Ovis aries: one gene and its partners. The protein of the gene in region 1 purifies or fractionates together with the protein of each later gene. This does not show direct contact. Links are inferred from orthologs where the notes say so. Each region holds a gene or a part of one and is shown in the gene's direction. Other genes may lie near its edges.

The links.
Region 2: the proteins of MAGED2 (region 1) and C1QBP purify together in Homo sapiens (affinity purification with mass spectrometry; 3 studies listed by BioGRID and IntAct, counting the BioPlex papers as one, with this or other methods). This does not show direct contact. The link is inferred for Ovis aries from reciprocal best matches to the Homo sapiens genes MAGED2 and C1QBP.
Region 3: the proteins of MAGED2 (region 1) and GNAS purify together in Homo sapiens (affinity purification with mass spectrometry; 3 studies listed by BioGRID, counting the BioPlex papers as one, with this or other methods). This does not show direct contact. The link is inferred for Ovis aries from reciprocal best matches to the Homo sapiens genes MAGED2 and GNAS.

Annotation. Positions count from the first base shown.
Region 1 is NC_056080.1:52,806,965-52,817,389, forward strand, and holds the end of MAGED2 (melanoma-associated antigen D2), read left to right. Parts: intron 1-278; coding exon 279-752; intron 753-1,339; coding exon 1,340-1,648; intron 1,649-1,768; coding exon 1,769-1,832; intron 1,833-2,093; coding exon 2,094-2,173; intron 2,174-2,711; coding exon 2,712-2,806; intron 2,807-3,506; coding exon 3,507-3,586; intron 3,587-3,679; coding exon 3,680-3,722; intron 3,723-4,056; coding exon 4,057-4,119; intron 4,120-4,928; exon of another isoform or gene 4,929-5,056; intron 5,057-5,217; coding exon 5,218-5,332; intron 5,333-5,699; coding exon 5,700-6,098; 3' UTR 6,099-6,106; intron 6,107-6,288; 3' UTR 6,289-6,423; downstream 6,424-10,425. UniProt on the Homo sapiens protein: Regulates the expression, localization to the plasma membrane and function of the sodium chloride cotransporters SLC12A1 and SLC12A3, two key components of salt reabsorption in the distal renal tubule.
Region 2 is NC_056064.1:25,997,382-26,008,155, forward strand, and holds C1QBP (complement component 1 Q subcomponent-binding protein, mitochondrial), read left to right. Parts: upstream 1-2,013; 5' UTR 2,014-2,114; coding exon 2,115-2,337; intron 2,338-2,952; coding exon 2,953-3,103; intron 3,104-5,276; coding exon 5,277-5,373; intron 5,374-6,711; coding exon 6,712-7,101; coding exon of another isoform or gene 7,102-7,172; 3' UTR 7,173-7,288; coding exon of another isoform or gene 7,289-7,438; 3' UTR 7,439-7,687; downstream 7,688-10,774. Other genes in the region: RPAIN (RPA-interacting protein), read right to left, coding at 8,070-8,300, 9,293-9,356, 9,504-9,615.
Region 3 is NC_056066.1:57,147,498-57,158,374, reverse strand, and holds the end of GNAS (guanine nucleotide-binding protein G(s) subunit alpha isoforms XLas), read left to right. Parts: intron 1-618; coding exon 619-716; intron 717-3,784; coding exon 3,785-3,839; intron 3,840-3,970; coding exon 3,971-4,044; intron 4,045-4,161; coding exon 4,162-4,220; intron 4,221-4,328; coding exon 4,329-4,449; intron 4,450-4,608; coding exon 4,609-4,739; intron 4,740-4,960; coding exon 4,961-5,028; intron 5,029-5,252; coding exon 5,253-5,399; 3' UTR 5,400-5,763; downstream 5,764-10,877. UniProt on the Homo sapiens protein: Guanine nucleotide-binding proteins (G proteins) function as transducers in numerous signaling pathways controlled by G protein-coupled receptors (GPCRs).

The DNA of each region.
Region 1 (10,425 bases):
CCTTCTCCACCTACCTCCTTGCTTGGGTGCTGCCCCCCCTCCCCCAAGTAGAAGGAGGGAGGAGAGAAGGAAGGAGGGAGGAAGCTAAGCTAGAGGGAGAGTGGGCCCACCCCTCTTCTGCTCAGGAGTGGGCAGAGGTGGTCAGCTGCTGCTGCTGCTGCTAAGACCACAAATAGGAGTTAGTATAAGTAAGAGAAGTGAGGCCCTGGAATAATGGAGCCATTTGCTTAGCTGGGGGTGGGGAGAAAGTTTGTGAGCTTCCCTGCTTCATCTTGCAGGCTGAAGCTTCAGAAGAGGACCCTGGCTTGAAGATGCAGACCATACTGACAGTGACCCAGAACTTGGAGGCCTCAGAGACACCACAGGCCTCAAAGACACCAGAGGTCTCAAAGGCCACGAAGATCTCAGATGCTGCAGGAGTCTCAAAGACCACTGCGGCTCAGGAGGTATCTGCCACTCAGGCTTCACCTACCACTAAGCTGACCGATACCCAGTTTCTAGCAGCCAAAAAGAAGAGTCTGGCAGCTGACACCAACATGCAGCATACTGACCCTCAGGCTGTGACAGTGTCTGCTACTGAGACCAAAAAGGTCAGCTCTGTGGCTGATACAAAGGTCAATACAAAGACCCTGGAGACTGAGTCTACTGCCTCTCAGGCTCTGGCAGATGAACCTGAGCCTGAGGGTGCAGCTGGTCAGGCTCAGGAGAATCAGGATACCCGGCCCAAGATCAAGGCCAAGAAAGCCCGAAAGGTAAGATCTTTGCTCTTCTACTTCTCTCAGTTGGTTCATGGTTTTGTAAACCTTTAGAAGGTTTGTTTCCTCTCCTCATAATAGCTGTGGGTAGACACAAAGAGGAATTTGTTATAATTCCTGTCTTCAGAAAGCTCATAGACTGGACATGAGATAGGAATACACATAGCCGAAATCAAAACAAAATGCAGTTTATGTTTACATAGTAGCTTACCATATGTCAAGGGCTTGAACTAGGCATATTCACACAGGTTATCTCATTAAATCCTGAAAGTGATCTAGTTTTGTAGAGAAGGAAGTTGAGTCCCAGTGAGGTGGAGTGACTTGTCCAGGGTGATATAAACAGAATCAGTGGTGGACACAGGAAGAGGAGAAGCCTCAAGCTTTACATTTGGGTTGCTCCTGTCCTGGTGGGAAGATGAAACTCCTACTTGGAAACCAGTGAAAGGTGAATCCAAGACTCAACATGGCCAATATCTAGTGAGTCAGGCTGTTACTGCAAGGGTGGGATTAGAGGGGACTTCTATGAAGGAAAAAAGACCATCTGTTTCATCTGGCAATGTTGTGTTTGCTCTCTGTTGATGCAGGTGAAGCATCTGAATGGGGAAGAGGATGGCAGCAGTGATCAGAGTCAGGCTTCTGGAACCACAGGTGGCCGAAGGATCTCAAAGGCCCTAATGGCTTCAATGGCCCGCAGGGCTTCAAGGGGCCCCATAGCATTTTGGGCCCGCAGGGCATCAAGGACTCGGTTGGCTGCTTGGGCCCGGAGAGCTTTGCTTTCTCTGAGATCACCCAAGGCCCGTAGGGGCAAGGCTCGTCGCAGAGCTGCCAAGCTCCAGTCATCCCAAGAGCCTGAAGCACCACCACCCCGGGATGTAGCCCTTTTGCAAGGGAGGGTAAGAACCTTGTCCTCTCCACTCTGCATTATTCTCTGCTTTGCCTACCTTTTTCTCTGCCATTGTGTCAAGTTTTTTGCAAACATATTTTGATCTTTCCATCTTTTCCACTTCTCCCAGGCAAACGATTTGGTGAAGTACCTGTTGGTTAAAGACCAGACGAAGATTCCCATCAAACGCTCAGGTAGAGTCCTACTAACCCCTTCCTTCCTCCAGCTCTGCCCTCCAATTGCCCTCTCCCCCATATGCTGAGGGCATTTCTTGCTCTCCTGCTTCCACTTATGCCCTCTCAAAGTTCTAATTTGGCAGTAGTAGCATCTCTGTTCACTAGCTCAGAACCTGTTTGTGCCACCCACAGCAGGGTTGGTAAAGGGTCTATAGTTTGGGTATGGGGGCCACTTGGCTTCACTTCAGCCCAGGTGCTCGCAACACTCTCCCCTTGCAGACATGCTGAAGGACATCATCAAAGAATACACTGATGTGTACCCTGAAATCATTGAACGAGCAGGCTATTCCTTGGAGAAGGTGAAGGGGCAGACCTGGGGGATGGGTGCATTGGGGAAACCTTGAATCAAACAAAGGTGTACATGTCTCTTCTGGGGGGCACCACAGAAACTAATCCAGCCCCGTCACTGTGCAGATGGGAAGACAGTGGCCTAGCAAGGGGCATAGACTACCTTGAGGTCACACAGCAAGTCCATGGTAAAATCACAGCTAGAACCCAAGCTACCCAGCTTAGTCTTGGCTTTTGTCCACTGCTGGACAGTCTTGTAATGTACTTCAGATACTCACTTCTCAATTTCTTTCCCCACTCTCTGGCTCCCTGGATTCCACTAATCACAAAGATGACAATAACAGTAATGCATTTGTTGTCTGTATGCTGTGTGCTGGCCACTCAGCTAAGTGTTTTATGTGCATTATCTCACTGATTTCACATGCACACACACATACACACACATACAAGCATACACACACAGAGAGACAGACTCCTGAGTACGTGGGGAGCTATGGGATGCCAAGGAAGCTGAATTCTGTGGTCTCACACTGTTGTCCCCATCCACAGGTTTTTGGGATCCAATTAAAGGAGATTGATAAGAATGATCACTTGTACATTCTTCTCAGCACCTTAGAGCCCACTGATGCAGGCATACTGGGAACGTAAGCTGGGATAGGGCTGGGATGGGAGGGAGGCATCTGCTTTTGTTCATGGTACTAGTTCATCCCTATCTTCTCCCTATACCCCCTTAAGAAATAGGAAGGACAGAGCCCCAGACCTCTTTTCTATCACCCTTAGGTAGTTGGAGCCCTGCACACAGGAGTGGTACCTGATTATGATTGTCTGTAGGGTGTAGGAGCCTCGGGTAGTGCATTCTTACTGTAATATTTTCTGGTTTTCCAGAAGCTTCCCAAGAAAACAGACTTGTCATTCCTTGTCTCTTCATATTGGCCTTGGCAGAATAGTTCTCACAGGAGGGCTTCCTGGTATGAGTGGATCATGATGCTCGATGGGCAGGGGCATCATTTGGGGCTATGCCTAGAATTTTCTTGGAACTGATGGGTCTGGGGGAGCAAGAAGGGACTCACAATTGACTGGGTGCCCAGATCTTACCATTCTTCTATTCTCTCAGCAACACAGGAAGAGAAGGATGTGTTTTTCCCATTTTATGAATAGGAGACTAGGCTCAAAATCTTAAGTGCCTTACCCAGGATCACATAGAGCTTGAAGCATAGATGGGGCAGAATTCTCCCATATCTGAAGAATCTGGGAGAAGCTAGCCTAGTGAGCTGGCTGATATGTGTTTTTTTTTGCAGATGACTGTTGGATGTAAACCTTCTCTCTCTCCCATTATTCTCCTAGGACCAAGGACTCACCAAAGCTCGGTCTCCTCATGGTGCTTCTTAGCATCATCTTCATGAATGGAAATCGATCCAGTGAGGGTGAGTGGCTGGATTGACAGCTGGATGGGGGGTTGTGGTCAGAATTGCACATGTTCATTTTCTATCCCTGTTTCCTTTTTCCTCCCCTTGCAGCTGTCATCTGGGAGGTGCTGCGCAAGTTGGGGCTGCGCCCTGGGTATGATTGGGCTCTGTCAGCACTTGCTGTCCATGTTGTCCTTTGGCAAGAGAGGATGGTCCCAGGATTGCATCAGCCTGGTGGTCTGGTGGGGTGGGTGGGGGTGCTGGATTGGGTTCAGGGTTCTGACCTAGGTGGATGGGGAAATGGTCCTGAACTCTGCTCTATGTCACTGACTCTTGGGTTTCTATGGAGCTTCCATCTATGCTGGAAGCTTCTTTTCCCTGTGGGAAATGTCTCTGTCCATATCTGGGAAGTGCTGTAGCCCTAGTTATATTTATCTATGTATGTAGTTATGTATGTATGTAATTATTTTATCATTCTCTACTGTCAGGATACATCATTCACTTTTTGGAGATGTGAAGAAGCTCATTACTGATGAGTTTGTGAAGCAGAAGTAAGTCTGTATGGTGTTGCTGTGTTCCATGCATTTTGCCTGTCTTCAAAATGAGTGATAAAGCTATGGTGCATGTGCATGTGCTTGTGCATGTTATATAAGTGCATATGCAAGTGGTAGCTTTTTCCTGAGATAGTGGCAGAGAACATGAGTACACGTTTACTGACCTACCTGTGCTCTCATATATGCCTTTGGAGCAGTTCTTCGGGGGAAGGATTGTCATCACCAGTATTGTATGTGTGAGGAAACTGAAACTGAGAGGTGAAGTAATTTGCTCAGGGTTATACAGGCAACAGACAGAAGAGTTGTATTGAAATCCTGACTTCAGTACCTTGGTTCTTTTTACTATGCTAGCTAGGGCTTCATAGAAATTTATTTCCATAAAGAAATGCCATAGAATGGTAGCTTTAGGCAACCAGGTACTGTCCTGGAGTCTTGACTTGAACATCTCATTTCATTTTCATAACTACTCTGCAGAATAGCTGCCATCAACCCAACCCCGGTATCAGTTGAGGAGCCTGGTGCTCAGAGAGTAGGTCTGAACCTGGCCCTGGCTGGTAAAGGACCCATTTGGATCTGAAGCCTAGTCCTCCTGACTTTTCTGACCAGGGCCCACCCTGTTGTTGGTCCTTGGAGAACATGTGTACACTCACGCAGGTGCACCAGCACACATGCCTGAATGCTCACACACAAATGGTCGAGAGTATGCGTTGAATCCACTGCTCTTGGTTGACTGTTTTGTCCCATACAGTCATTTCCTAGGATGGACTGTACCAGGGTTCAGCCAGGCGATGGATGAGCCCGTTGGTGGGGTGTGCTCAGAGCAGGGGGCCTAAAGAATTGGCTTCTCTATTTGCAATACACCCAACAGGAATCTGGGTTATTGTGACAGGGGCACACAACTTGTGGCCTTCCTATGAAGAAATACTCTATACAGGCCCCTTGTACCTCCACATGGCTGCTGGGTAGGGTCAGTGAGATAGGGCTGAAGATTGGAAGAAAAGCTGCAGTAGTCAGTGGGGGAGTTTGCCACCTAAATGCATGAATGGGCCATTAGTGGTCTTATAGACATAAAGGCTTTGACCCTCTCTTTTCAAGGTACCTGGACTATGTCAGAGTCCCTAATAGCAATCCCCCTGAATATGAGTTCTTCTGGGGCCTGCGCTCTTATTATGAAACCAGCAAAATGAAAGTCCTCAAGTTTGCCTGCAAGGTAATTGGAGAACTGCCCAAGCTTGGCATACCAAGAGCATGGGGTGCCACTGTCTGGGGTAGGCTGTGTGCAGAACAGCCTGCAGCTCATGCATGAACATTCTGAAGCCTGTATTAATGTGCAAACACTTTATTTGAATCATTTAATACTTACAACTGACATGTCATTGCCTTATTGTAAATGAGAAAACTCAGGCTCAGAGGTTGTTAGGTGTCATGTCCAAGGTCACAGAGATAGTAAGTGTCAAAGCAGAGCTGGAATATTAGGTGCATAGCTACTAGTAGTATTTATGGTATTATAATTTGCATAGAGTAGGCACTTGGTGCTCAGATTTGGATCCTTCAGATGATTGTTCTTCCTGTCGTAGGTACAAAAGAAGGACCCTAAGGAATGGGCAGCTCAGTACCGAGAGGCAATGGAAGCAGATATGAAGGCTGCAGCTGAGGCTGCAGCTGAAGCCAAGGCAAGGGCTGAGATTAGAGCTCAGATGGGCATTGGGCTCGGCTCTGAGAATGCTGCTGGGCCCTGCAACTGGGATGAAGCTGATATTGGACCCTGGGCCAAGGCCCGTATCCAGGCGGGAGCTGAAGCTAAAGCCAAAGCCCAGGAGAGTGGTGGTGCCAGTGCTGGTGCCAGCACTGGTGGCAACTTTGGTGCCAGCACCAGCCTGACAGCCACTCTCACGTTTGGGCTCTTCGCAGGCCTTGGTGGAGCTGGTGCCAGCGCCAGTGGCAGTTCTGGTGCCTGTGGTTTCTCCTACAAGTGAGATATCAGGTATCTACTTATATTTGGGGAAAGCCAGGGCTCATGGGGGTGGGATAAAGAGCTGGGTGGTTACAGGAAGGCCAGGGTTGGAGGATCATGGAGAGTGTGAGAAAACACTACTTTTGACATTTTATTCCTTCCTATTGGTGGATATAATTGACTTTTTTATTTTCTTTTACTTGTGTTTTCAGATATTCCTAATCCCAGCAATCTTTGTCTTCGAGCCAGGGTGCATCCTCAGAAACCTATTCAGCACAGCGCTCTAGGCAGCCACTATCAATCAATTGAAGTTGACACTCTACATTAAATCTATTTGCCATTTCTGAGTTTATTGCCTTTTTTGGTGGGCTGTCACGTTTTGTATCATATTTTAAAATGAACTGGGAAAGTTTCCACCTCAGTCTGTGCTTAGCTTGAGGTGACATTGCTGAATTCAGTGGAGCAAAATTAGCATGTTTCCTGGGATAGGTTGGGCCCCATCACTATCCTATAGAGCAGGCAGGGTTGCAGTGGTGTGGGAGTCATGGAGATTGTAGGCATAGAGGGCATACTTAGAAGCTCTGATATGGGCAAATCTGGTCCAGAAAAATAGAGGAGATTGGACATCAAGTATTGACTCTCCTTTTGAGAAACTTAGGTTAGACAAGAAGGTGAAAGAGGTAGGTAGCTAAAGAGAGGTACAGGAATAATGATTTTCTTGGGAAAAGAGAGATTTGAGCAGGCAGGAGCCAAAAGACGGGGAGATGTTGAAGGCTGACTCATGCAGCCTAGTCCCTGAGGAGGTGGGAGGGGAGGACCTGTGGGAAGGGACTGTACAGAAAGGACTTGGAGAGGGGACTGTAGAAGGATTCCAGACAGTGGGGAGGCCCCAGTAGAGCAGGGAGCCCATGATTTATGGTAGACCCCCTTCCCCATGGCAAAGTGCTCAGTAATCTTGTAGGAATGAAGATGAGTGTTAGTTTATTCCAAGGATTTCATTCTGTTATTCAGTGGTAGAATAAGGACAAGACCAAGGGCAGCGAGTGTATGAGTCAGCATCTTTGTTACCATGTCCACCAGTGTAGGTTCACAGAATGGAGAAAGAGATGGACCAGGGAACCCAAGCAGGATTGGTGAGGAAGATGGAGTTTGAGTGACAGATTGGGAAACAGTGCAGGGGTTTGTGGACAGGAGTCTCTGAAGTCTATGAACAAGACAGAAAGGTAAGTAAATATACTAAGTGCCTGCTGTGTGCAGTGTTATAGCTGTCTGGGAGGGAATGTTCAGAGAACCAGAAGGATGAACTGAGGGATTAGTTCGATGGTCAGACAGTAGAATGATTAAGAAGACAGGAGAAAGAACTCTGGGCAGTGGGAAGATCCATGGAATAGCTGGTTAAAAGGGGAGATGATGGTTCCTAGAGATGAGGAGGGGTAAGTGGCCTGGTTGGGTTATCCATTTGGACAGTGAAATCACCCAGAATGGAGGCAGAAGTTAGGGTAGAGAGGAGCACTGTGAGCCAAGTGCCAGAGTTCCCTTGTGTAGTTGAAGGTGTCCTCCCAGCTCTACTACCCACTTAAGGCATGGGACCTTCAGGCAGAGATCCACCTTTGCCCTGTTTTGGAGAGTATTTCCCTGGATCTTCCTTCCCAGGAAGCTCTCAGCATCTAATCCCCACATTCAGTTCAGTTCAGTTGCTCAGTCGTGTCCGACTGACTCTTTGCGACCCCATGAATCGCAGCACGCCAGGCCTCCCTGTCCATCACCAACTCCTGGAGTTCACCCAAACTCATGTCTATTGAGTCGCTGATGCCATCCAGCCATCTCAACCTCTGTCGTCCCCTTCTCCTCCTGCCCCCAATCCCTCCCAGCATCAGAGTCTTTTCCAATGAGTCAACTCTTCGCATGAAGTGGCCAAAGTATTGGAGTTTCAGCTTCAGCATCAGTCCTTCCAATGAACAACCAGGACTGATCTCCTTTAGGATGGACTGGTTGGATCTCTTTGCAGTCCAAGGGAATCTCAAGAGTCTTCTCCAACACCACAGTTCAAAAGCATCAATTCATCAGCACTCAGCTTTCTTCACAGTCCAACTCACATCCATACATGACCACAGGAAAACCATAGCCTTGACTAGACGGACCTTAGTCGGCAAAGTAATGTATTCTGCTTTTTAATATGCTATCTAGGTTGGTCATAACTTTCCTTCCAAGGAGTAAGCGTCTTTTAATTTCATGGCTGCAGTCACCATCTGCAGTGATTTTGGAGCCCCCCAAAATAAAATCTGACACTGTTTCCACTGTTTCCCCATCTATTTCCCATGAAGTGATGGGACCAGATGCCATGATCTTCGTTTTCTGAATGTTGAGCTTTAAGCCAACTTTTTCACTCTCCTCTTTCACTTTCATCAAGAGGCTTCTTAGTTCTTCTTCACTTTCTGCCATAAGGGTGGTATCATCTGCCTATCTGAGGTTATTGATATTTCTCCTGGCAATCTTGATTCCAGCTTGTGCTTCTTCCAGCCCAGCATTTCTCATGATGTACTCTGCATATAAGTTAAATAAGCAGGGTGACAATATACCAGACCCCTAATCTGGGACAGAGGCACACAGACAATGAGACTCTAGTAATAGCTCTTAAGACTAAAAGCAATAAAGAAACAAGGCTTATTGCTTAGGGAACAGAATCTAAAAAAGAAAAAGCTGCACCAGGAGCAAGGAAGTTCCTTGCCTGTTGTCATGAATCAAGACCTGCTTTTGCTGCGGAGATGTTGAGCTCTTCTTCACTGGAAGCATTGATTCCATAAGCCATGGTTGCCTCAGGGGTTGGATAGTACCTGGGAGAAGTAGGCAAGGTCAGAGGCAGCTTAGACCTAGGAAGGATTCTATAGCAGGTGGGTACCATGTCCAGGGTGCCCTTAGACTCCCAGGTGATGTCCATCTGAAAATAGGGGGTAATGTAAGGGGGTAATGGTGAGGGGTGGCAAGGAACTTGGAGACTGTGATTCTAATAAAAAGTGAGTTTAAAGTGCTTGATAAGAGATAAGGGTGAATCATAGTCATGAAGAACTCTGACCTTCCCACTTACCTTCCCTCCACAGACCACTGGGTTTGCAGGGCTCCCCACCTCTTCTTTCCTACAAGGCTTAGACTTTGGAAAATAATGGTTTTTTTCTCACTACCTCAGGTGTAAAGATGGAAGGCATGTGAGGTAGGGAGGAAGAGATCAAATCTGGTTCAAGGCAAATGGGGAATGGCCAGAACTAAAAAGAAGGAGGGCCAGGGGAAATGGGGACAGACTATGGTTCATGTTTTCGTCACCTTTATTAGCTTGAAGGCCACTACTGTAATAAATGAACTCCTACAGTATTATCATTAAATTTCAAATAATTCTAGAATATATCATGTATTAATATTTCCCATTTGGCTAGGAGTGGGAAGAGCTCCAAAAGCAATTTCTCCATCTATTTTTTTATTATCACCCTCAAGCTTTTTCAGACATTTTTGTCTCAATTGCTACTCCCCATAAAATTTGAATACTACAAATATACTGTGCACCTATTTAATGTATAATGTATATTTGTACTTTATACAGAGAAAGGTTTTTACTCAATATAGGGTTTATAATGACTAAAATATTTAAAGTTTAACAATTTAAGATACTGTGAGCAACTTTATAACTATTTGCTGATCAGCTTTAAATGTAACATTTACATTGTAATGTATCAAATTACATATGTAAATCAGCAATTTATATAGCTATGTGATAATAGCAGTATAACCAATATTTTAAAATAACTATTCAAAACATTTTTCAGCAAAAGTAAAACATAAAATTTTAAATTAATTTCTTAAAAATGATTTTTAGTGTAACTAACTTTCAAGCATTGCATGATAAAAGAAAAATTTTAACTAGCTGCTGGGTATCCATTCAGGTATCATCAGCATTCTTATAAGCGCTCTTCAGTGCTTGACTGAAAGATCAATTGAATAACTTTTGTAGAATTAAATAGAAGCTATTTTTAATTCTCGAAGCCCAGACAACACTCCGAGACACTGAGGAAGTCTTCCAATCACAGCCATCTATTCACCATGGTTTTATAGTGCTGATTTTGCATACATTTTCTGTGTCTTCCTCATTGTTGCTCTTGTGAAACTCAAGAAAACCCAACAACAGAAATTAAATGAAATTAAATACTAAAGAGTAAGATTCTTCAATAAGGTTGAGCTTTAGGGGGACACAAACTATGGTGAAAGATTTGGGGGAATTTTTGTCCCCCACAAGGACCAATTTTCACTCCCTTGTGGTTGATCACCCACAACTCCATCTGCCCTTTCCTCCTGCATTAATA
Region 2 (10,774 bases), on another chromosome or scaffold:
GGAGGGCTGCAAAAGTTAACCAGGCATTTTGCCTTCAGGAGCTCCAGGGGGTAAGGGGCAGCTGCCAGGTAAACGAGCAATGCCAGGAGGTTTCTGCTGAGAAAAGAATGAAGTACAGGGACCCGGTCACAGAGGCATGAGTTCTGGTTTTTCAGGGAAGAGGAGGAAGAGCCAGGAAGGCCTTTCATGGGAGATGACCTCAGAGGCTGGTTTTGGGAGTCAAAGACAGCAAGAGTGCATTCCACGAAGTCACAGAAAGCCTGGTCATGCTTGAGAACAGTAGATGGAAGTTTGGAGAGAAGCCAATTAAACAGCAGTCCTGGGACACCAGACTCAGAGCCACTCAGCTAAAGAAGTTTCATTTCAGTTGCTCAGTCATGTTTGACTCTTTGCGACCCCATGGACGCACGGCAGGCTTCCCTGTCCATCGCCAACTCCCAAAGCTTACTCAAACTCATGTCCATCAAGTCAGTGATGCCATCCAACCATCTCATCCTCTGTCATCTCATCCCCTTCTCCTCCTGCCTTCAGTCTTTCCCAGCGTCAGGGTCTTTTCCAATGAAAAGAACTCTGCATCAAGTGGCCAGAGTATTGGAGTTTCAGCTTCAGCATCAGTCCTTCCAATGAATATTCAGGACTGATTTCCTTTAGGATGGACTGGTTTGATCTTGCAGTCCAAAGGACTCTCAAGAGTCTTCTCCAACACCACAGTTTAAAAGCATCAATTCTTCGGCACTCACCTTTCTTTATAGTCCAACTCTCACATCCATACATGACTACTGGAAAAACCATAGCTTTGACTAGATGGACCTTTGTAGGCAAAGCAATGTCTCTGTTTTTTAACATGCTATCTAGATTGGTCATAGTTTTTCTTCCAAGAAGCAAACGTCTTTTAATTTCATGGCTGCAGTCACCATCTGCAGTGATTTTGGAGCCCAAGAAGATAAAGTCTCACTGTTTCCATTGTTTCCCCATCTATTTGCCATGAAGTGATGGGACCAGATGCCATGATCTTTGTTTTCTGAATGTTGAGTTTTAAGGCAAATTTTTCACTCTCCTTTCCACTTTCATCAAGAGGCTCTTTAGTTCTTCACCTTCTGCCATAAGGGTGGTGTCATCTGCATATCTGAGGTTATTGATATTTCTCCTGGCAATCTTGATTCCAGCTTGTGCTTCATCCAGCCCGCATTTCGCACGATGTACTCTGCATAGAAGTTAAATAAGCAGGGTGACAATATACAGCCTTGACTTACTCCTTTCCCAATTTGGAACAAGTCTGTTGTTCCATGTCCAGGTCTAACTGTTGCTTCTTGACCTGCATACAGATTTCTCAGAGACAGGTAAGGTGGTCTGGTATTCCCATCTCTCAGAATTTTCCACAGTTTGTTGTGATCCACATAGTCAAAGGCTTTGGTGTAGTCAATAAAGCAAAAGTAGATGTTTTTCTGGAACTCTCTTGCTTTTTCCATGATCCAGCGGATGTTGGCAATTTGATCTCTGGTTCCTCTGCCTTTTCTAAATCCAGCTTGAACATCTGGAAGTTCATAGTTCACATACTGTTGAAGCCTGGCTTGGAGAATTTTGAGCATTCCTTTGCTAGCGTGTGAGGTGAGTGCAGTTGTGCAGTAGTTTGAACATTCTTTGGGACTGGAATGAAAACAGCTTTTCCAGTCCGGTGGCCACTGCTGAGTTTTCCAAATTTGCTAGCATATTGAGTGCAGCACTTTCATAGCATCATCTTTCAGGATTTGAAATTCCATCCCCTCCACTAGCTTTGTTCGTAGTGATGCTTCCTAAGGCCCACTTGATTTCCCATTTCAGGATTCCTAAACTTCTTTAGTTCCTGAAGATTCCTGTTGCTGCAGAACTAAAGTTTAGGAATCAGATTCCAAGCCTCCCTGGGAGGCTACACCGGAGGCCACCAGCAGAGGGCAGGGTCCTGCCCACTGTGCCTTCTGGTCTGCAAGGCGGCGGCGCGGAAGCACTTCCCGGCTGTGGGGCGGGACTTCCGGCGGCGGTCCCAGATCTAGGGGGCGCAGCGGCAAGGAGTTGTCCTTCTAAGCGAGAGTTGTATTTCGAATCTGCACGTGTTCGCCACCGCCTCCGCTGCCAAAATGTTCCAGCTGCTGCGCTGCGTGCCCCGCGTCCTGGGTTCTGCCGTCGCTGGTCTCCGCGCCGCCGCACCCTCCCTGCCGCTTCTGCAGCCCGCGTCCCGGCCATGCGCCCGGCCCTTCGGGCTGCTGAGCGTGCGCGCGGGGTCGGTTCAGCTGCCCGGCCTCCTGAAGCCTCGGGGGCCCTGCGCTTGCGGCTGCGGCTGTAGCGGACTGCACACCGAAGGTGAGACTCATGCACGTGGGCCGGGGGCGTGAGGGGCGTGGGCCTAGGTGGGGCGGGGTGTTAGGGGCTGGGAGGTGTAGACCACCTGAATGGACAGTCCGGAGCCGCTCCTGAGGTCCGGAACATTCTCCCAGTGATGGTCGACCTGCTAGTTAAACCCACGCGTAGTAACATTTCCCGTCCTCCCCCACCCCTGTTTGACTGCGGGGATAGATACTGTAAAGTCCTGGAGGCCGGCTTTACCTCAGTCTCTCGAAAATGGAACTTTGCGAAAGCCCAAGGTCGCGGTTAGAAGTAGCGTGATGTTTCTTGGCAAGTGAAAGGGTAGTGGCGATTTTTTTTTTTTTTTTTTTTGCTTTATTTTGAAACGTCGTGAGAAGTTCATTATTCGGGATCACTTTCCTAGAATCCATGCTCAGCTTCCCACTGATAGCTTACATTTTTACAGATGAAGGAATTGAGGTTTAATGGATATGAGTTGGGCTAAGTCCACAGAGCCACCATTAATAGAAGTATTAGGAAAAAACAGGCTAAGTCCTGGTCTTTGCTTGTAGTAACGGGGTCATTTTCCATTTTAGACTAATTGGCTCTTTCTGTAACTTATTTCCATTGTAGGAGACAAAGCTTTCGTTGACTTCCTCAGCGATGAGATCAAGGAGGAAAAGAAGATACAGAAATATAAGTCTCTCCCCAAAATGTCAGGAGGTTGGGAATTGGAAGTGAATGGGACGGAAGCCAAATTAGTGCGGAAAGTTGCTGGAGAAAAGTAAGTACCAGGGGCCTATGGAGCCCAGGGGACCACATCCATAAACCTGCAGGACCTGCTGTGAGGTATCCACAACAACTTTTAGTTAAGACAGGTGCTTAACTGACTCCTGGTTTCCCAGAGATGGTATGATTCGTTTGGATAACTTCTTAGGCTCCTTTTTGCTTATTCACTGCACAGTAATGTGCTGTGGTGGTTAACAAGGAGACAGTAAGCTAGTAGCGGGGTTCCCCAGTGGCTTGGCGTCCAGAACCCACCTGCCAAAGGAGGAGGTGTGAGTCTGAAATGGCAACCCACTCCAGTATTCTTGACTGGAAAATCCAATGGACAGAGGAGCCTGGCAGGGAGTCCATGGGGTTGCAGAGTCAGACACGACTGAGTGCCTGAACATCACCCCAGTAGCACTGAAGCCAAGCCACTGGGAGTCTTCTGGACCAGTAGAGGCAGCAGTCACTGAGCCCTTCCTGGTGAGTGAGGCTGTGCCTTGCCCACAACTAGGCATGCAAATTCAGAGATTCCGGCACTGCCCACAGAATCGGATTTACTCTGCTGGGTCTACTACCCTCAGGCTCTGGCTGAGGAAAATAAAGCCCCTGTTCTGTTTACAGTTGAGAAAGCAAGATAATTAACAGGGTGGGGTTGCAGTATAGTTTTTCATTAGAAAAGAGGGATGCTTTTGGCCTGCTTAAGCTGTTTTAAATCCACGGTCCACTTTGAAGTTTTGCATGCGCTGTGAAGCAGCAGGCTGGTGCTTTTGCCTAGTATTGTAGTGCTTTCCCCGTCATAGATCAATTGTGTGGTCTGTAACGTGACCCAAACCACTCTCCTAGGCGAAGTTATAGGCAGTTTGGGACCATTATAATGTGCTGCTGAACATAGCTGCATTTCTCTGTCCAGGGGTCAGTTTGGTCCACACTGTCACAGCTTAGACAGATTTTGTGCCTGTACATCAAACTTCTGTCTGTCAAGGTGCCAGTTACCATGGCTTCAGAGGGCAGCGTTGTCTGCAACCTAGCAGTGCTCGTTCCAAGTGTCACTCAATTTTCAGTTCAAATTTTGGAATATGATATGTCAGGTGAAGATTCTTGCAAGTTAAAATTGTCATTAGGTGGTGTTTGTGGCCTGCCTTGTCATTTATTAAACTTCCTACATCTGCTCTGAAGAATAAAACTGTCCAGCAGCATATTCTTTTTTTTTTTTTGCCACACTGCTTGTGGGAATCTTAGTTCCCTGACCGGGGATCAAACCCAGGCCATGGCAGTGAACACACCAAGTCCTAACCCCTGGCCCACCAGAGAACTCCTCTATGTGGTGTCCTTTGTGAGGCCTCCCCTTCCTGGGGCCAGGGCTACTCTCCATCCTCAGCTGATGCCACAACCCTCCGGTGCTCCTTCTCTTCCTCTCAGGCAGATTTTCTTCTAATGGAGGAAGATTTTTAAAGGAGGCTCCTGGGACTTAGTGGTGGTCCAGTGGTTAAACCTCTCCTCTCCCAGTGCAGGGGACCTGGGTTCAATCCCCGATCAGGGAACTAAAATACCACACATAGCAACAAAGGTCACATGCACCTCGCAACCAAGACCCAGCCCAGCCAAGTACATTTTATTTTCTTAAAGGAGGCTTTTGGAACTTTGTGGTGGTCAAAGTGTCTGCTCCCAGCGCAGAGGACCTGGGTTCAATCCCTGGTCAGGGAACTAAGATCTCGCATGTAGCAACTGAGCGATCCCATACATAACAATGGTCATGCGTACCTCGCAACCAAGACCCTGTGCAGCCAAGTACATTTATTGTTTTAGAGGAGGCTTCTAGCCCATGCCCACAGCTTCTCAGCTGCTCACCACCACTGGGAGGTGCCCTGGAAAGACAAGAGTGGCGGTGTCAGCTGACTGTGGCTATAAGGTTGACAGAGAGCCCCGGATAGTGGCCTGATGGCAGAAGCACCAACACACAACTGTATTTGGCTGAGGAAATAGTGCCTAATTGACTTCCAGCAGCCAACACATAGTAGGCCCACTTCAGACCTGCTGAATCCAACTGTGGATGGGATGCAGGCAAATCAGATGTAAAGCCGGCTGAGATACATTGTTTCAACAGCATTTTTAACTGTAGCAAGCCGTAGTACTCAGCTACTCAGTTAAAAAGACATCTTCATTGTGCTCTTTGGTTGCCTTTCTAGGATCACTGTCACTTTCAACATTAACAATAGCATCCCACCTGCTTTCGGTGGTGAGGAGGAAGAACCCTCCCAAGGGCAGAAGGCTGAGGAGCAGGAGGTAAGTTTCTAACACTGTAACCAGCCTGTACCCACCTATTTCTGACAGGCTTAGGGAAGGAGCATTGGTTTTTGTTTTGTTTAAATTCTAACGCCAGGAGAGAGGGCAAAGGCAGCCATCCTTGGGCCTTTACTTGCAGAGCACCAGAACTGTGTGGCCACTTTTCTTTCCCAGGGGCCAAGTGTTAATGAATTGTTTTCTGTGGGCTTAAGCGTTATAGTTTGGCCGGTGTTCACCTAACAGGAAGGAATTTAAACTGTCTTAACCCTTCTCATGATCAGGAGATAAATCATTTGGAGTGTTCCACATGAGGAATACATGTCCCGAGTTGGTAATAAACACCAGCCAGGGGCATCAGAGACTTTGGCAAGGCCTCTCCTTAAGTTGCTGCCCTTCTTGGTTGGACCTGGATGGTGTTTAGTCCTCGAACATTTTAGGAAGCTTTGTGCCTGGCCTAGAAACCAGCCAGTATGAGGGCCACAGGTCCCCAGACTTTCTGGCTGGGTGGGCATGGTATTGTCTCATCACCCAGCTCAGCTCCCTGGAGTGCTGGCCCAGCCCCCCTGACAAAGACCACCCCCAACCCATCCATGAGGTTGGCTGGCTCGCTCTCAGAGCGCCTCTGGGCCTCTAGTCAGAGGCACCAGCCTTTGGTCCTGGGCTGTAATGAAGATCCCAAAACATCTGGAAAGGGGTTTTGGAGTTTTGAGCCAGCTTTGTAGTGTATAGATGTAGAAACTGACCCAGGAAAATTAACTGGCACACTAGATGTGGCTAGAGCTGAGTTCCTATTTCTGAACCTTGTATGTTCTTTAAACAAGCAGGGTGCTAATAGAAGTGAAAGGCTGTACTAAATTATGATACTCTGCCTCCGAAACAGTCCATAACGCTAGAAAGGAATGACAGGATGTACTCGGCCCAGTCTCTGAACAAGTGGGTTACGTGGCTGTAATACTGTGTTAAAGATTCTAGGCTTCTTATTTGGGAACCTCTTAGCGCAGTGTCGGAGAAGGCGATGGCACCCCACTCCAGTACTCTTGCCTGGAAAATCCCATGGATGGAGGAGCCTGGTAGGCTGCAGTCCATGGGGTCCCTAAGAGTCAGGCTTGACTGAGTGACTTCACTTTCACTTTTCACTTTCATGCAATGGAGAAGGAAATGGCAACTCACTCCAGTGTTATTGCCTGGAGAATCCCAGGGACGGGGGAGCAAGACTTGTAAGTGGCTAAGTAATATCGTAATAGCAGTGGCCGTCAGACCCCTGAATTGAGACCTTTAGTCCAGACCCCTGCCACCAGACCCTTGCCAACATTTACTGACTTGTTCTTATTTCCCTAGCCTGAATTGACATCCACTCCCAATTTTGTGGTTGAAGTTACAAAGGATGGCAGCAGCAAGGCCCTTGTGCTGGACTGCCACTATCCAGAAGATGAGGTGTGTAGGGTGGAGAGCTGGCGGCCTGGGGGGCGGTGGTGGGGGGCCTCCAGGGGGCTTTCCTGGTTCCATCTAGCTGATATTAACATTTTCTGGCTTAGAGCAGCAAAGCTGGGAAGATTAGTGGGAGGTAAGGGAACAAGGTTAAAATCTGAGTTTCAAGCTGTAAATAATCCCTTTTCTTCGCCTGAGTCTGGCTTGTCCTGGAAAACCTTTCTGTTTCGCCAAATACTGTCTCTCTTCAGATTGGACAAGAGGATGACCAGAGTGACATTTTCTCCATCAAGGAAGTGAGTTTTCAGGCCACCGGCGAGTCTGACTGGAAGGACACAAATTACACACTCAACACAGATTCCCTGGATTGGGTGAGTGCTAGATAAGGTGGGGAGGGGCCTACCTAATCCAAGGAGAGACAAAGAAGCATCCTAGTAAGTGTCTCAGGTGTCTGTCTGTTTTTTTAACTAGTAAATGATCCTTCTAGGGCTTATACGACCACCTAATGGATTTCCTTGCGGACCGAGGGGTGGACAACACTTTTGCTGATGAATTGGTGGAGCTCAGCACAGCCCTGGAGCACCAGGAGTACATTTCTTTCCTCGAAGACCTCAAAGGTTTTGTCAAAAGCCAGTAGAGCAGGCAGCAAGGTGCTGAACACCTTAATTTTATGGCAGGCTTTGGCCAGTGAACAAAACCTAACTCTGAAGCCAGACCCACATGCTTTGAAAAAAATTTTTTTTTTTTAATCCCAATATCATGGAAAATAATTCACTTTTAACTTATTTCTGTTGTCTCTTATTTACCATTCATTTATCCTCTACAAACCCTTTATTTCTGGATTTTTGTATAACATAATGATGGACAATAAAAATCTCCAAGGTGATTTGTCTTTTCTAATTCTATACCCTCCCTTTCAACCTGTATTACAAAACATGAAACAGAGGAAAGTCTGAAATGTTTTAATAAGTTATAAATAAAAGGTTTGTATTTACAAGGCCACTTCTCAAGATGGGACTTTCTTCCAACACAGTAGATCATGCATCAAGACTGGGACCGACCCTAGAGGATCACAGCCCAAGTATCACAAGCCTGGATTTAAACAGAAAAGAGTTAGAGTTATTCCAGTGACAAAGACAGTCTCAGCATATGGTTAAAAGTCATCGATAGCAATGACACTTAAGCTGCTCCTTCCACGACCTGGGTGGCCTCTGTGCTTCCCCCCTTCAGGAGATGGTTGGCCTTTTAACTGAAATAACATCACTTTTCTATGCAACTAAGTTCCTCTTTTCTACCAGGGTGGGAATAAAACCATCCGCTGACCCACTGTCAACTACTGGCTCCCGTGGTAGGCTTACCAGACAGCTCATGAGAAGACATGACTTCTCCTCTGTCCCCTCAGTGACTGAAAATTCTGGCGTGTGGGGACAATGTGCACTGTGCTCATTGACACTGTCTTCTAAACAGGCACGAAGCTTTTGCTCTGTCATCTCCGGAGACTAAAAAATAGACAAGTTAAACTATAACCTAATCTTACTAGCCTCATAGTCAACAGCTTAAAAAACTGCAGCTCCCCTCACACCAATCCACAACTGGCTCCCTGTGATGGCTTGATTCCTTGGACCCTTAGAAACGCTATAACTGTGCTAAGAGGATCTCTTTAAATGTCCATCTAGCTGCCTCTCCAAATGAACCAGTGCTCTTCCACTCCTGCCGTAAAACACTAACTGCTGCTCATCGTGCCAGGAACACTCAGACTCTGGAACCTCCCTGTGTTTCTGCCTCTACCAGCCAAGTGTATGATTACCCAGAACCAGCAAGCTCCCATATCTGCTGCTGAACTTGCTACTGTAACTGAGTGATTTAATTACATACTATATAAACCAATGAAATAATAAGAAAACAAAGTTTCATTTTTGTGATAGTAAGTGGAATGTTTAGGAAACAAAAAGATGCTTTAAGAAAAAGAATTAGGTAAAAGAGTAAAAGATGGGGAGGAAAAATCCTAAAGTGTAGACAGCTTCTCGATGCTTTATAGAAACAACTGGGGAAACAAGACTTTAAGAGAATTTTACAAAAAACAACCTCAGCTCTCCAGTCAACAGAGTCTCTGGCTCAAAGACTGGCAAGTAAACATGTATGTTTGAAACTTACTATAAAGTGTGTCATTTGTATAATTCACCACTTTAATCAACTGGCAAACTTTTGGTCAACATCATGTCAGATCAGATACAAGAGTTTCCAGTACTAAACCAGGCTCTCTTCCTAGACGTAAGTGCCTCACAAATGGCTTGTGCAGAGGGGCTGGGAAGACCCTGATTTATGGAGCTTGCCAATTCCATGGTGTCTCATATTGCCACTGTGACCAATTTCAAGCTACCAGTGTGTGAACTGGACGTGAAGCTGGGACAAGCTGTGCTCGCTACTGGAGTTTAAGAAAGTAGGTACATGTGGGAAGAGGTAACACAAGACCTGTGTGAGGAACACTCACATGAGACTGGATGTACAGGCCACACTGACACACGACCAGTCCGCTTGCTACCCTCAGGTTGTACCTGGAAGCAGAATTGGGATCCCAGAGCATTACAGCTAGCAGACCCGTATCCCCCCACTTCCCAGACCACAGAGTTGGGGGGAGTTCCACTCACCTTGGAGTGGGGGGTGGGAACGAACAGTGCTGAAAAGGTTGTGAAAACTCTTACTTTGTACACACGGGACAGATGAGGGGGTTTGCTTCCCACTCAGCAAGCATGACACTGAGACACTGTTCGTCAAACTGCAAGCTCTTCTCGTACTCACTGATGATGGACTGTTCTGCAAGGCAAAGGAGAGCTGGAGTGGCACCGTGCATCACTTCGGGCACCCTGTCCCGAGTGCTAGAAGATTCATTTTCAAAGGCTTCATCCACACAAGAGACAAATGAGGGTAAAACCACACTACAATCGCTAGATATTCACTGCTGTGTCAGGCCTCCTCTTACTGGATCCTTCCCCTCCTGTCTGTCTGCTTCCTTTTGAAGTGATGAGGCCACAGGAGGGGAGCTGAAAAAGTGTCAGGCAGCTGAAGAAAGCTGACAAAGGCACATATTTCTGATGCCAGGCCCCCCTGGATACGTCTAAGGCGATCTGTTCCCCACTGTCCCCAGACTCAGTCCGTGTTCAGAATGTGTGTTCATCCACTCAGCAGATATGTAAAAAGGCCTAGGACTTGGGAGGCCTAGGTAAATACAAAGATGAAAAAGGCTGGTCCCTGCTTCTGATGAGCTCACCGTCTAGACTTCAGAGTAGGGCTCAGCAGACCACAGGCCGTATCCTGCCCACCTTCCATTTTTAAAGTTATAATAGAACAGCCATTCTCCTTTGGTTGATGAATGGGCTCTAACGGTTCTCCCACTACAATAGCCGAACTGAGTAGTAGCAACAGGCTAAACATTTACAACCTGGCTCCTAAGGGAGAGTTTGCCAACCCCAATTCCAGAGGGTTCCTTATGACTGAGTAAGGCAGAACACAGCAAATTCTTATCACTTGGGATTTTTAAATTAAATACACCCCAAAAGAAATATTTAGTGAGTCCTTTCACTGAGATAGGTTTTACAGGTGAGGGTAAAGAGAAAAAAAAAAAAATCAAGGAATCTACAGTTTAACTGGAGCCAACACAGCAATCATAACAACTAACACTCGCATAGCACTTATTTTGTGTCAAAGTCCTTAACATATATATTAATCTTCACTATAAGTCTTATTTTAAAGATGAAGAAACAGGCACAAGGAGAGCCCAGCGCCACACAAGTTAAAGTGGTGAAGCTGAGAAGTGAACTTTGGCCGTCTGGGCCAAGAGTTCATGTTCTTGCATCCTCAAGATAAAAGCAATTATTTATCGAAAGCCTTCTTATATACCAGGCACCGCTCTAAGTCTTCAAAACATGTTATTTAAACTACAGAGGCAGTCTGTCATCTCTTTAACAGATGATAT
Region 3 (10,877 bases), on another chromosome or scaffold:
TCATATTGCAGAAAAACCTTTCCTTCCCTTGTAAGGGGAGATTGCCCCATATAATTAAAAATGTTTTTACGTCAAATGACATATGAACCGTGACCTATTGCAGTTTAAAACTAGGCAGAGGTCATTTGCTCCTTTGATTGATAGGCATTGACTGACAAGGTCAGATTTGCCAATAGCTCCCAATTATAATATTTTTTGCTAAAATTCACATTTTCCTGGAAGGAAAATTGCGGTCTCATCACATCTTCATAAATGAGATGTCTTACCTCCATGACATCAAATCATTTATTGGCAAAGTCTCCTAATTAGCTTGTATTCCTCCTAGGTAAGCAATTGGGTGAGGAAAGAAACTTATTCAGTAGTTCAGTTTGGCCCTTCATCCCATTCCCAAAAAAGTACAGAATGAAAACTACCCAAGACCAGTAATCCACAGAAAGAGATCAGCTGGTGTCAATTTCCAAATACGTGTAGCACGCTGAAGTTCTTTATGAACACTGACTCCTTAGTTTGCCTCGAAACGGAATAATTGCACCCAGGGTTGGTGGCAGGGTGAACTCTGGTCTCACTGACTGGGAGCAGCCCCTGTGTCTAAACATTCCCTCTCTTGTTCACTTCCAGGAATTCTATGAGCATGCCAAGGCTCTCTGGGAGGATGAAGGGGTGCGTGCCTGCTATGAGCGCTCCAATGAGTACCAGCTGATTGACTGCGCCCAGTAGTAAGTACACTGTCTCCGCATCAGCGTGCACGCGCACACACACAAACACGAGCGCATGGAGAACATCCTAAAAACCACAACTCACACTGTTTAAGTTACTTCTTTTCAGAGAAGCCAGCCTGCAGTTTGAAAGTTGTAGTCCAATTCACTGGTTTTATAAAGCCCTTAATTGTACTTTTTAGTGCAGTGACATTATTTTTATACAAACAGGTAATGCCTGGTAGAGCAAAATGATAATTACCTGCAGTAAAGTGATGTTCATAATTAATTACCTTGAAGTAATTAATTGAATTGACCTCCAAGCATGTGGGGAGATAGGACAGCTTTCACACTTTGGATAAGGTAGAAGTATTGTATTTTATTGCTATAATTTAAAACGTGACAAAGAGGAACAGTGTGGCAAAAATATGCCTCCCCCCTCCTTCGTGGCCAGTCCAGTATTTCTACTATCAGGTAAGTGACTGTAGTAGCTGCTAGAGTCCAATATGTCTAGTTCATCTAGAGTTGGGTATTGTGTTGAATTCCATCTCCTATCCTTATTGATTCATTCACACTGGGCTTAATTCGAGGATGCTCCCCCCATGGGGTCCTTGCTGTGTCCCTTCATGGGCTCTCTTCCAGTGGATGTGATAAACACAGCTGGAAAGTTGCTTTTTAAATAGTTTACAACCTTGCTTATCCTGTACATAATATAGCAAATATGTGATGTTCAGAGCCATAAAAGATATTTTAAAGGTATCGTTTGTTTGCTGATGTTGCACAAATGTACTCAGCGGTCTCAGTTATCATATATTCTTAAGTTGGATTGTCTTTTATGACTGGGGGAAGGGCAAGAGATATTTGTGATGTTTCAGCCTCTCTTATGTAAGTAACTGAAACACACACAATTTTGCTATTGAAAATATTAAGTAACCAGAAACACGGTACCCGGCTGGCTCACAGAAAGCTAAAATTGCATTACTTAGGAGCCCCACGCCTGAGGAACTTATGAAAACCACTTGAATAAACAGGAGGGAGGAAGAGGTGACAGCACTCCAACTGCAAACACAAAGCAAGTGCCCCAAATTCCTGTTATCTACACATGACAAGAGCTTGTGTTAGGGGCTGTGAAGCCTGTCAGTTTCTCTCTCCTTGGCCCTGCTTTCCCATTGGAAGTGCATTTGATTATTTTCAGTTATCACACATACAGCTATTTTGTGATTTCATATACAAGCAAATCTGTATATTTTTTCAACAAGTGAGAAAAAAAAAGTCCATCTTGGCCAGTCTCTGTGACCCCCCCCCCCCCCCCCCCCCCCCCTCAACAAAGTCTCTGATTTTCTCAAAAGTTTGAGCTTAAAGCTGGAAGTGCTAATTATAGTAATGCAAAACAAATGGAAATCCTGGAATTGTTTGCCTTTTGTAGTTTGGATCCAAGTCAGAAGTACAGGTACAAGATTAGAAGGATTTAACCACTCCAGTTTGGAGTGCTCTGGGAGGGGGTAGGGTGTAACACTTCATTAATTAACAGTTTAGCCAGCTTTTTTTTTTTACTCTCACACCATTTAAAAGTTTTTTTTTTTTTTAAAGCAACACTCAATTACTCCTGCAACTTTATCTGAAAAAGGCAACATATGCAGTTTATGGAAAGTTTTAAGGAAACTCTAAGAAAAAGAGAACACAGCTCAAATTTTATAAAATGTCTTCCCCAGCCCAATGATTGGAAAGCGGCTCTGCCCCTGCAGTGACCAGTGTGTTTCTGGTTTCACTGCCTTTATGTTAAAAAGTTGATCTACTGCTACCTTGCCCATTTCTTAAGGCGCCTGTTTTTATTTGTTGAGCCGGGGTTTGGCTGGCCCCACTCCAGATGTCTCTCTCACAAGATTTGGTGCTGATGATCTATTTTTAGAACTGTGGTTCTGTTGCCATGGCAACATGCTGGAGGCCAGGGCGGCTGGGGAGCTATTTCTGGACTGGTACTGTAATGTAAGACTGATTGGGCAAGTTAGTATATCCTCTAAGCCAGACTAACTTTAAACTGGTAAAAAGGAAGGAGGAAAGAAGAAAAAAAAAAAGGTACAGACTTTCTTTAAATAGACTTTTCTTTGTGATTTTTCTTCTCTGATTAGCCCCCTTTAAAATAATTCCAGACCCCTCCCCCAAGGGGGAAAAAGAAAAAAGCTGGTTTTACCATTAACACAGTAATCAGTGTTTTAAAAGTTATTTTTCCTAACAGTGTTATCTAGTCTGGCAACATAAGCAAGGTACTTTTTGCTTTGGGGACAGTGTATAGCTGTGGAGAGGGAGGTGAAAAACACTGCTTTTCCCCTATAAAGCTTTCTCATCGTTAAGGATGGCCCCTAAGATCTCTACCCCTCCACTATGCAGGCTCCCAGCCTGAATAAGAGCCCCTAACCTGGGTGGCTGTGAGGGTTTTTGAAAACACTAAAGTTTAATATCTTGACTGTGCTATTTCATAGACCAAGTAGAACGGAAGGGAACGTTGTGTCTGTTTCCTGTTCAGTGTGGTAAGGGCCCGGCCCCTTCTTACAAGTAGAAGGAAGGGATACCCTTTCTGAGTAACTCAGACAATCTCATTTTTATTAGTCTCTTGGGAGGGGAAAAAACCTTGCTGCTCTTAAATGTGCCATTTTTTTCCATTTTTTAAAACACCGCATGACAGGAAGAGTCCAATTTTCATACTACTTGCCATTTTAACCAAAGCCAAACAATTTGAATTTAACTCAGTCATTATCAAACTGCACAAAATCAGTCAGCTGATTGATCTGCACAGAACCAGCCTTTTAAAATTAAAACAAGGCCAGGAGAGCCCACTCCTAGTTCCTGATTCCTAGACGTACTACTGCTCAGCCAGGTACATTTATCTTATATTCTCTTTGCTCTAACCTCTCTAAAGCATAAGCTTGGAATCATAAGTTTAATGAACACAAGAAAAATTCCCACTGACTTAACGCCATGTAACTGTGGGGTGATCATTTCCATTAGCTGATCGTTGCAGAGAGGCAGGAATAGTGGGTGGGCAAAGTGGCACGAGTATGTGGTCACCCTGATGCATCTTTTTCTCCCAGCTTCCTGGACAAGATTGACGTCATCAAGCAGGATGACTATGTGCCCAGCGACCAGGTACGCACACATTCTCACAAGCAGAGGACTTGGAGCCCTCTGTCCCAACTAATTGGCAACTCCAGACTGGCAATTATTAATGAGTGTTAGTTGGTTTCGGTGAGATCCCTTGACCCAAGATTCTGTTTTAGGATCTGCTCCGCTGCCGTGTCCTGACTTCTGGAATCTTTGAGACCAAGTTCCAGGTGGACAAAGTCAACTTCCAGTAAGTAAATGGTTCCCTTTAAAAAAAAAAAAAAGATATCTTGACGTTCCTTCTGGTAGGGAGAGTGGTGGACCAGTGTCGCCCTTGGAGTGACCAGGTATCATTTCTCTCCTGCAGCATGTTTGACGTGGGCGGCCAGCGCGATGAACGCCGCAAATGGATCCAATGCTTCAATGGTACGGGAGCCGCGGGCTTCTCTGCTCTTTAAGGACATTTTGCTTTTCTAGTTGTTAAGGATCACTTTCCCTGCTAACATGCGTTATGTTTGCTTTCTCGTGCTGAAGATGTGACTGCCATCATCTTCGTGGTTGCCAGCAGCAGCTACAACATGGTCATTCGGGAGGACAACCAGACCAACCGCCTGCAGGAGGCTCTGAACCTCTTCAAGAGCATCTGGAACAACAGGTTTGTGCAGTGACGCCCCCCTTCCCCCAGTCTCCTTCCTACTGATGTCAAGGTCAATAGAAAAGAATCTTGTACAAGTTCTTGTGCAAGCATCTCAAACCACTTGCAAAAAGAATACTCTCTTTTCCTGGGCAATAAACATGCTTCCCTCTTTCTTAGATGGCTGCGCACCATCTCTGTGATTCTGTTCCTCAACAAGCAAGATCTGCTGGCTGAGAAAGTCCTTGCTGGAAAATCGAAGATTGAGGACTACTTTCCAGAATTTGCTCGCTACACTACTCCTGAGGATGGTACGTATGGCCTTCTGCAGTTGATTAGTGCCCATGGGTCCCACAGGGTTTTGCATATGTTAAAGATTTCTATTGATTTTAAAAATGAATGATCTCTAAGAATGGAACTCCACTTCCCCAGCCACCACCACCACCACCACCACACTATAAGGGGTCTATAGGGGGAGCAAAAGAATCTCATTCTAATTACTTAAGTAACAAAATATTTATATTCTTTACAGCGACTCCCGAGCCTGGAGAGGACCCACGCGTGACCCGGGCCAAGTACTTCATTCGAGATGAATTTCTGGTGAGTAGAGATTGTTGTTTACTTAATTCTAAATCTGAGGATCAAACCATCCAGTTCCTCCATGTTATTTCACTGATAGCCAGCATGACTCTTAGCCTTTGTGCCCTTCAGTTGGGGATTGTTTCAACATAATGTCAATAACTAGCAGGCAGAGTTTGGTAGATGACATCTACTGGTGAGTTTCTGGCGAGGGGTCACTGACCACCGTTCCTCTGTCCCCACAGAGAATCAGCACTGCTAGTGGAGATGGGCGCCACTACTGCTACCCTCACTTCACCTGCGCTGTGGACACCGAGAACATCCGCCGTGTGTTCAACGACTGCCGTGACATCATCCAGCGCATGCACCTCCGTCAGTATGAGCTGCTCTAAGAAGGGAACCTCTAGATTTAATTAAGGCCTTAAGCGCAATTAATTACAAGTAAGATATAACTACACGCAGTTGATCACCCACCATAGGGCATGATTAACAAAGCAACCTTTCCTTTCCCTCAAGTGATTTTGCGAAACCCCCTTTACCCTACAGCTTGCTTAAATATTACAAATTTAGAAAGCTTAAGGCGGCCTATAGATTAAGATTAAGAAAAAAAGGCCACAAATGTTCCCTTCTCTCTTTAAGTAAGCAAAATATAATAGCAGCAAACAGAAATAAATAAATGAAATAAATGAAACAAATGAAATAAATATCGTGTTGTGCAGCATTAAAAAATCAAAATAAAAATTAAATGTGAGCAAAGATGTGACTCCTGTGAATTATTTGCGGTTTCGAGCAGACATGCACTGTTCAGGGTTTGGACTACATCAAAAGTTAGGAGGCCCCCATGTTTAGGTGACAAGGCCCCAAGGTTATAAGTGGGTGTAAAATCTTCCCATATTATTTGTTGACCTAACCTTGGGTTTCTGAAAATGATTTTCAGACGATACCAAATGATCACCCTGTCCTTCTCCCAAACCGATGCCCTGAAGAAAACCATTAAGGTCCATCAAAAAATTCTATACTTTGAGCATTGCTGCCCTATCCAAGTATTCTACCAATTTATACCTTTATATACTATCTTAGGGTGGGTCTACTTCCCTACTCTCCCCAAAATAGGTGTCTGCTTTTCAGCTCTTTGTCCATCCAACATCTCAGTTGGGTGGGAGGAATTTAGTAATGCAGTTTCAAATCAAGTGGATTTACTTAAGAAATAGTGTATAATGTATATTAAATCATCACACTGTATACACTGAATATATTAAAATTTGTCAATTATTAACTCAGTAAAAATGATGGGAGGGGTGTGGGAGGTAGGGGGTCGGGAGGAATAAACCTGGTGCAAAGCTATCAAATAGTTACAAACAAATGGTGTCGTGATTTGGGGAAAAATTAGGCTGGATCCCTATCTCATTCCATATGTAAATGAACTCAATGTGCAGCAAACATGTATGTTTAAATACAGAAAGTTACTTTTTAAATGGCTATCTTTACAGTTCAAATCTTGGTTTATAGACGGCCTCTCTAAGCTGGATGTAAGATTTAAAAAATTTAAATGGGGGGAGGACTGTAAAAAAAATATGAGTGAGGGCAGGGGTGGGAACTGGGTAAAAATATGTAAGAAAGGATTCATGTCTCTAATAGGCAAAGAGCTCTTAAGAATTAATAAGCAAGCCTATCACAAAAATGGGCAAGGTACATGAACAAGCAATTTTACTTTTTAAGGTACAAATAAGTAATTACCTCTACACCTCATCTCATACACAGATGAACTCAGTGGGTCAAACACATATGTTTAAATACAAAAATGTACTTTAAAAATGGTGATTTTTACAATTAAAATCTTAGTTTATAGAAGACCTCTCTAAGCATGACCTAAGATTACAAAATATAAAGTGGAGGTGGGGAGATGGGAGAGGACTGTGCATAAAATATGAATCAGGGTGGGGGTAGGGGTGGAAAATGGGTAACAATATGTAAGAAAGGATTGATTATCCTAATTAGCAAAGAGCTCTTAAGAATTAATAAGCAAGCCATCATAAAAATGGGCAAGATACATGAACAAGCAATTTTACTTTTAAAGAAGATACAAATAACTATCTACCTCATCCCACACACAGATGAATTCAGTGTTGGTCAAACACATGTTTAAATACAAACATGTACTTTTAAAATGGCAATTATTACAATTAAAATCTTATGGAAGGCCCCTCTAAGCATGACCTCAGATTAAAAAAATATAAAATGGGGGTGGGGAGGTGGGGTGGGAGACGGCTATACAAAACTTAAATAAGAACGGTGTTGGGGTGGAAACGGTAAAAATACGTAAGAAGGATTAATTTCCCTAATAAGCAAAGATCTCTTATTCAATAAGCCATCACAAAAATGGGCAAGATACATGAACAAGCAATTTTACTTTTAAAAAAGGTACAAATAATTATCTCTACCTCATCCCACACACAGATGAACTCAGTGTTGGTCAAACATGTTTAAATACAAACATATACTTTTTAAATGGCAATTATTACAATTAAAATCTTATGGAAGGCCCCTCTAAGCATGACCTCAGATTAAAAAAATATAAAATGGGGGTGGGGAGGTAGGGTGGGAGATGGCTATACAAAACTTAAATAAGGACGGGGTTGGGGTGGAAACGGTAAAAATACATAAGAAGGATTAATTTCCCTAATAAGCAAAGATCTCTTATTTAATAAGCCATCACAAAAATGGGTAAGATACATGAACAAGCAATTTTACTTTTTAAAAAGGTACAAATAACTATCTCTACCTCATCCCACACACAGATGAACTCAGTGTTGGTCAAACACATGTTTAAATACAAATGTGTACTTTTAAAATGGCAATTATTACAATTAAAATCTTATGGAAGGCCCCTCTAAGCATGACCTCAGATTAAAAAAATATAAAATGGGGGTGGGGAGGTGGGGTGGGAGATGGCTATACAAAACTTAAATAAGAACAGGGTTGGGGTGGAAACGGTAAAAATGCGTAAGAAAGATTAATTTCCCTAATAAGCAAAGATCTCTTATTCAATAAGCCATCACAAAAATGGGCAAGATACATGAACAAGCAATTTTACTTTTTAAAAAAGTACAAATAATTATCTCTACCTCATCCCATACACAAATGAACTCAGTGTTGGTCAAACACATATGTTTAAATACAAACATGTACTTTTAAAATGGTGATTTTTACTACTGAAATCTTATGGCTCATCTAAGCATGACCTAAGACTAAAAAAATGTATAGTGGCAGTTGGGGATGGGGTAGGAGAGGGCTGTATAAAATGTAAGATCAAATATGAATGGGAGTGGGGATGGAACTGGGTAAAAATACATAAGAAAGGATTAATTTCTCTAATAAGCAAGGAACCCCTAAGAATTAACAAGCAAGCCGTCACAAAAATGGGCAAGGTATATGAACAAGCAATTTTACTTTTTAAAAAGGTACAAATAACTATCCTTACCCTCATTCCATACACAAATGGACTCAATGTGGGTCAAAAACATATATTTAAATATAAAAATACATCTTTAAAATGGCTACCTTAAAATATTGGTTTATAGAAGGTAATAAGCATGACATAAGATTTAAAAACCATAAAGGGGGGTTGGCCGAGGAGAGTGCAAAACTTAAATGTGAATGGGGGTGGGGGTGGAGACTGGGTAAAAATCTGTAACAACAGGTTAATTTCCCTAACAAGCAAAGAGTTCTTAAGAATAAACAAGCCCATCACAAAAATGGGCAAGGTACAGGAACAAGCAATTTTACTTTCTAAAAAGGTACAACTAACTAACATTGGGGAAACCATGCAACTTCACTCATAATGAAGTGAAATACAAATAAAAATCTTGCACCATTGCTGGGGGAGGGAATGGGCAACAGCACTCACAGGTCCCACACCAAACTCACTGAATCCTTGACGGGTCATGGCTTGGACCTGAGATGATCTTGGGTTCCCTATAGTTCTTCATCACCAGGCTCATCCCTTAAGCTCATGGTCAACCATGGTGTGGCTTCCTAGAAGGTTGGGAGGGAGACACCAGCTCACCCCCAGCATCAACCATTGCACCCTCTGAAACAGGCCAAATGGGACATCAGTCAAGGTGACTCTACCTCAGGCCCAAACCCTACTTCCTGTTCTATTTTCCAGGTCAAATTAATCCCAGTCAATTAATCCTCAAGCTCAGTACTGCAGAGGTGAGCAAAGAGTATGCCACCGAGGGCAAGAAAAGTAGCAAACACCCCCTATCCATTAACCTTCCCAAAGTTCCTATGTAACATTCATTCCACATAAAAATTGTGTGCTTACTAGCGAGATTTCATCACAAAATGACACTCAAAAGCCGCCCAAATGAACATACAATCAACATGAGTGCTAGCTATCCAAATACAGCCAAAGACCCACCCCTTAAATGTGCATAATCCTCCAAAGTACCCCAAATAAACACTAAACCCTGGGCAACAACTACAGGACCAGCCCAACCATAAAAACACCCATCCAGGTAAAGTGCTGGCAGAGAATAGTTCCCAAGTCCCTCTTCCAAGATGGCCAGCCGGAGGCCCCACCCATCCTGAGATTCTAGAACCTTCTCGGAATAATCCACATTAGGTTGCCATAGTGCTAGCCACATATCCATCACCATTAGAAAACAAACTCTCAGGCTATAGAACATGTATATGTGAAAAATGCAATCCCAGAACCCCAGGCCCTTGCTGATCACAACTGGCAGAGACTGTGATGACGTCCAGAAGGATGGTAATAAAAGTCACAGTTATCCAGCATCTACCAGGCACCCATCAGCACCTAACCAGGCAGGGTCCGCTGTTTCTGCCTTTTTTACCAATGACTAAACACGGCCTAGGGAGGCCAAAGTAACTTGCCCCAAGAAAGATTAGTAAGCGGGGAAGATGGGCTTCAAACTCAGGTAGACAAAGCCCACTGCTTGGCTGCTATCATATCCTGTAGTTCTAGACAATACGGGAAAAGAGAGAGGGTCTCCTGCTAGTCTTTCCAGGATGTCAGTTGTGGGGAGACCATGACCCATGGTCACCATTGGATTCCATAGCTGGTGGTGCTGGGGGTAGAGAGATTTGTGAGTAGGCAGCAGAGTGGAAGGGAGGAGTGCCCTCCTCCCTCAGAGTGGCACTGGATACACACCCCCAACCCAGGGATTGAACCTGCATCTCCTATGTCTCCTGCATTGCAGGCAGATTCTTTACCACTAATAATAAACCACTAAGTGGCCTGATGAAGCTTTAGTTTGAAGACGGTCTAGAATTTTTACCCATCTTCACTTTCAAAATTATCCCCAAAGAAATGGCCACCTCAGCACAGCCCTTCTATGTCAAATGGTATTCTCTTATCATAATAGTTTCTTGGACATTTTTTGGTCTTTTTATTCAACAAATAGAGAGCAGAGAATCTATGCCAGCCACTGGGAGTTCAGCTCTCATGGGGTTTACGTCTATCAGGGGAGACATGCATTTACCAAATAAGTAATTGAATTACAGATGATGACAAGGCCTCTGGGCTAGTAAACAGGTTGGGGGCAATGGGGAATGGGAACTATTGGAGGGATTCCACTTGAGATAGAATAGCCAGGGAGGGCTTTTTGGAGGAGGAGGCTTTTCTTACTGGAATACAAAGGATAAGAAGGAGCTAGTCATTTAAGTATGAGTCACCAGTAGCAAACATCACTCTTCTTTATCGATATTGATTATTAAAATATTAATAGCATTTATGGAGCACTTTACTGGCACTTTATGTGCCAGACAGTGTCCTAGGCCCTTTATAGGGGTTATTCCACTTAATCATTTTGAAACCCTAGGAGGACGTACCCTATCATCCATGT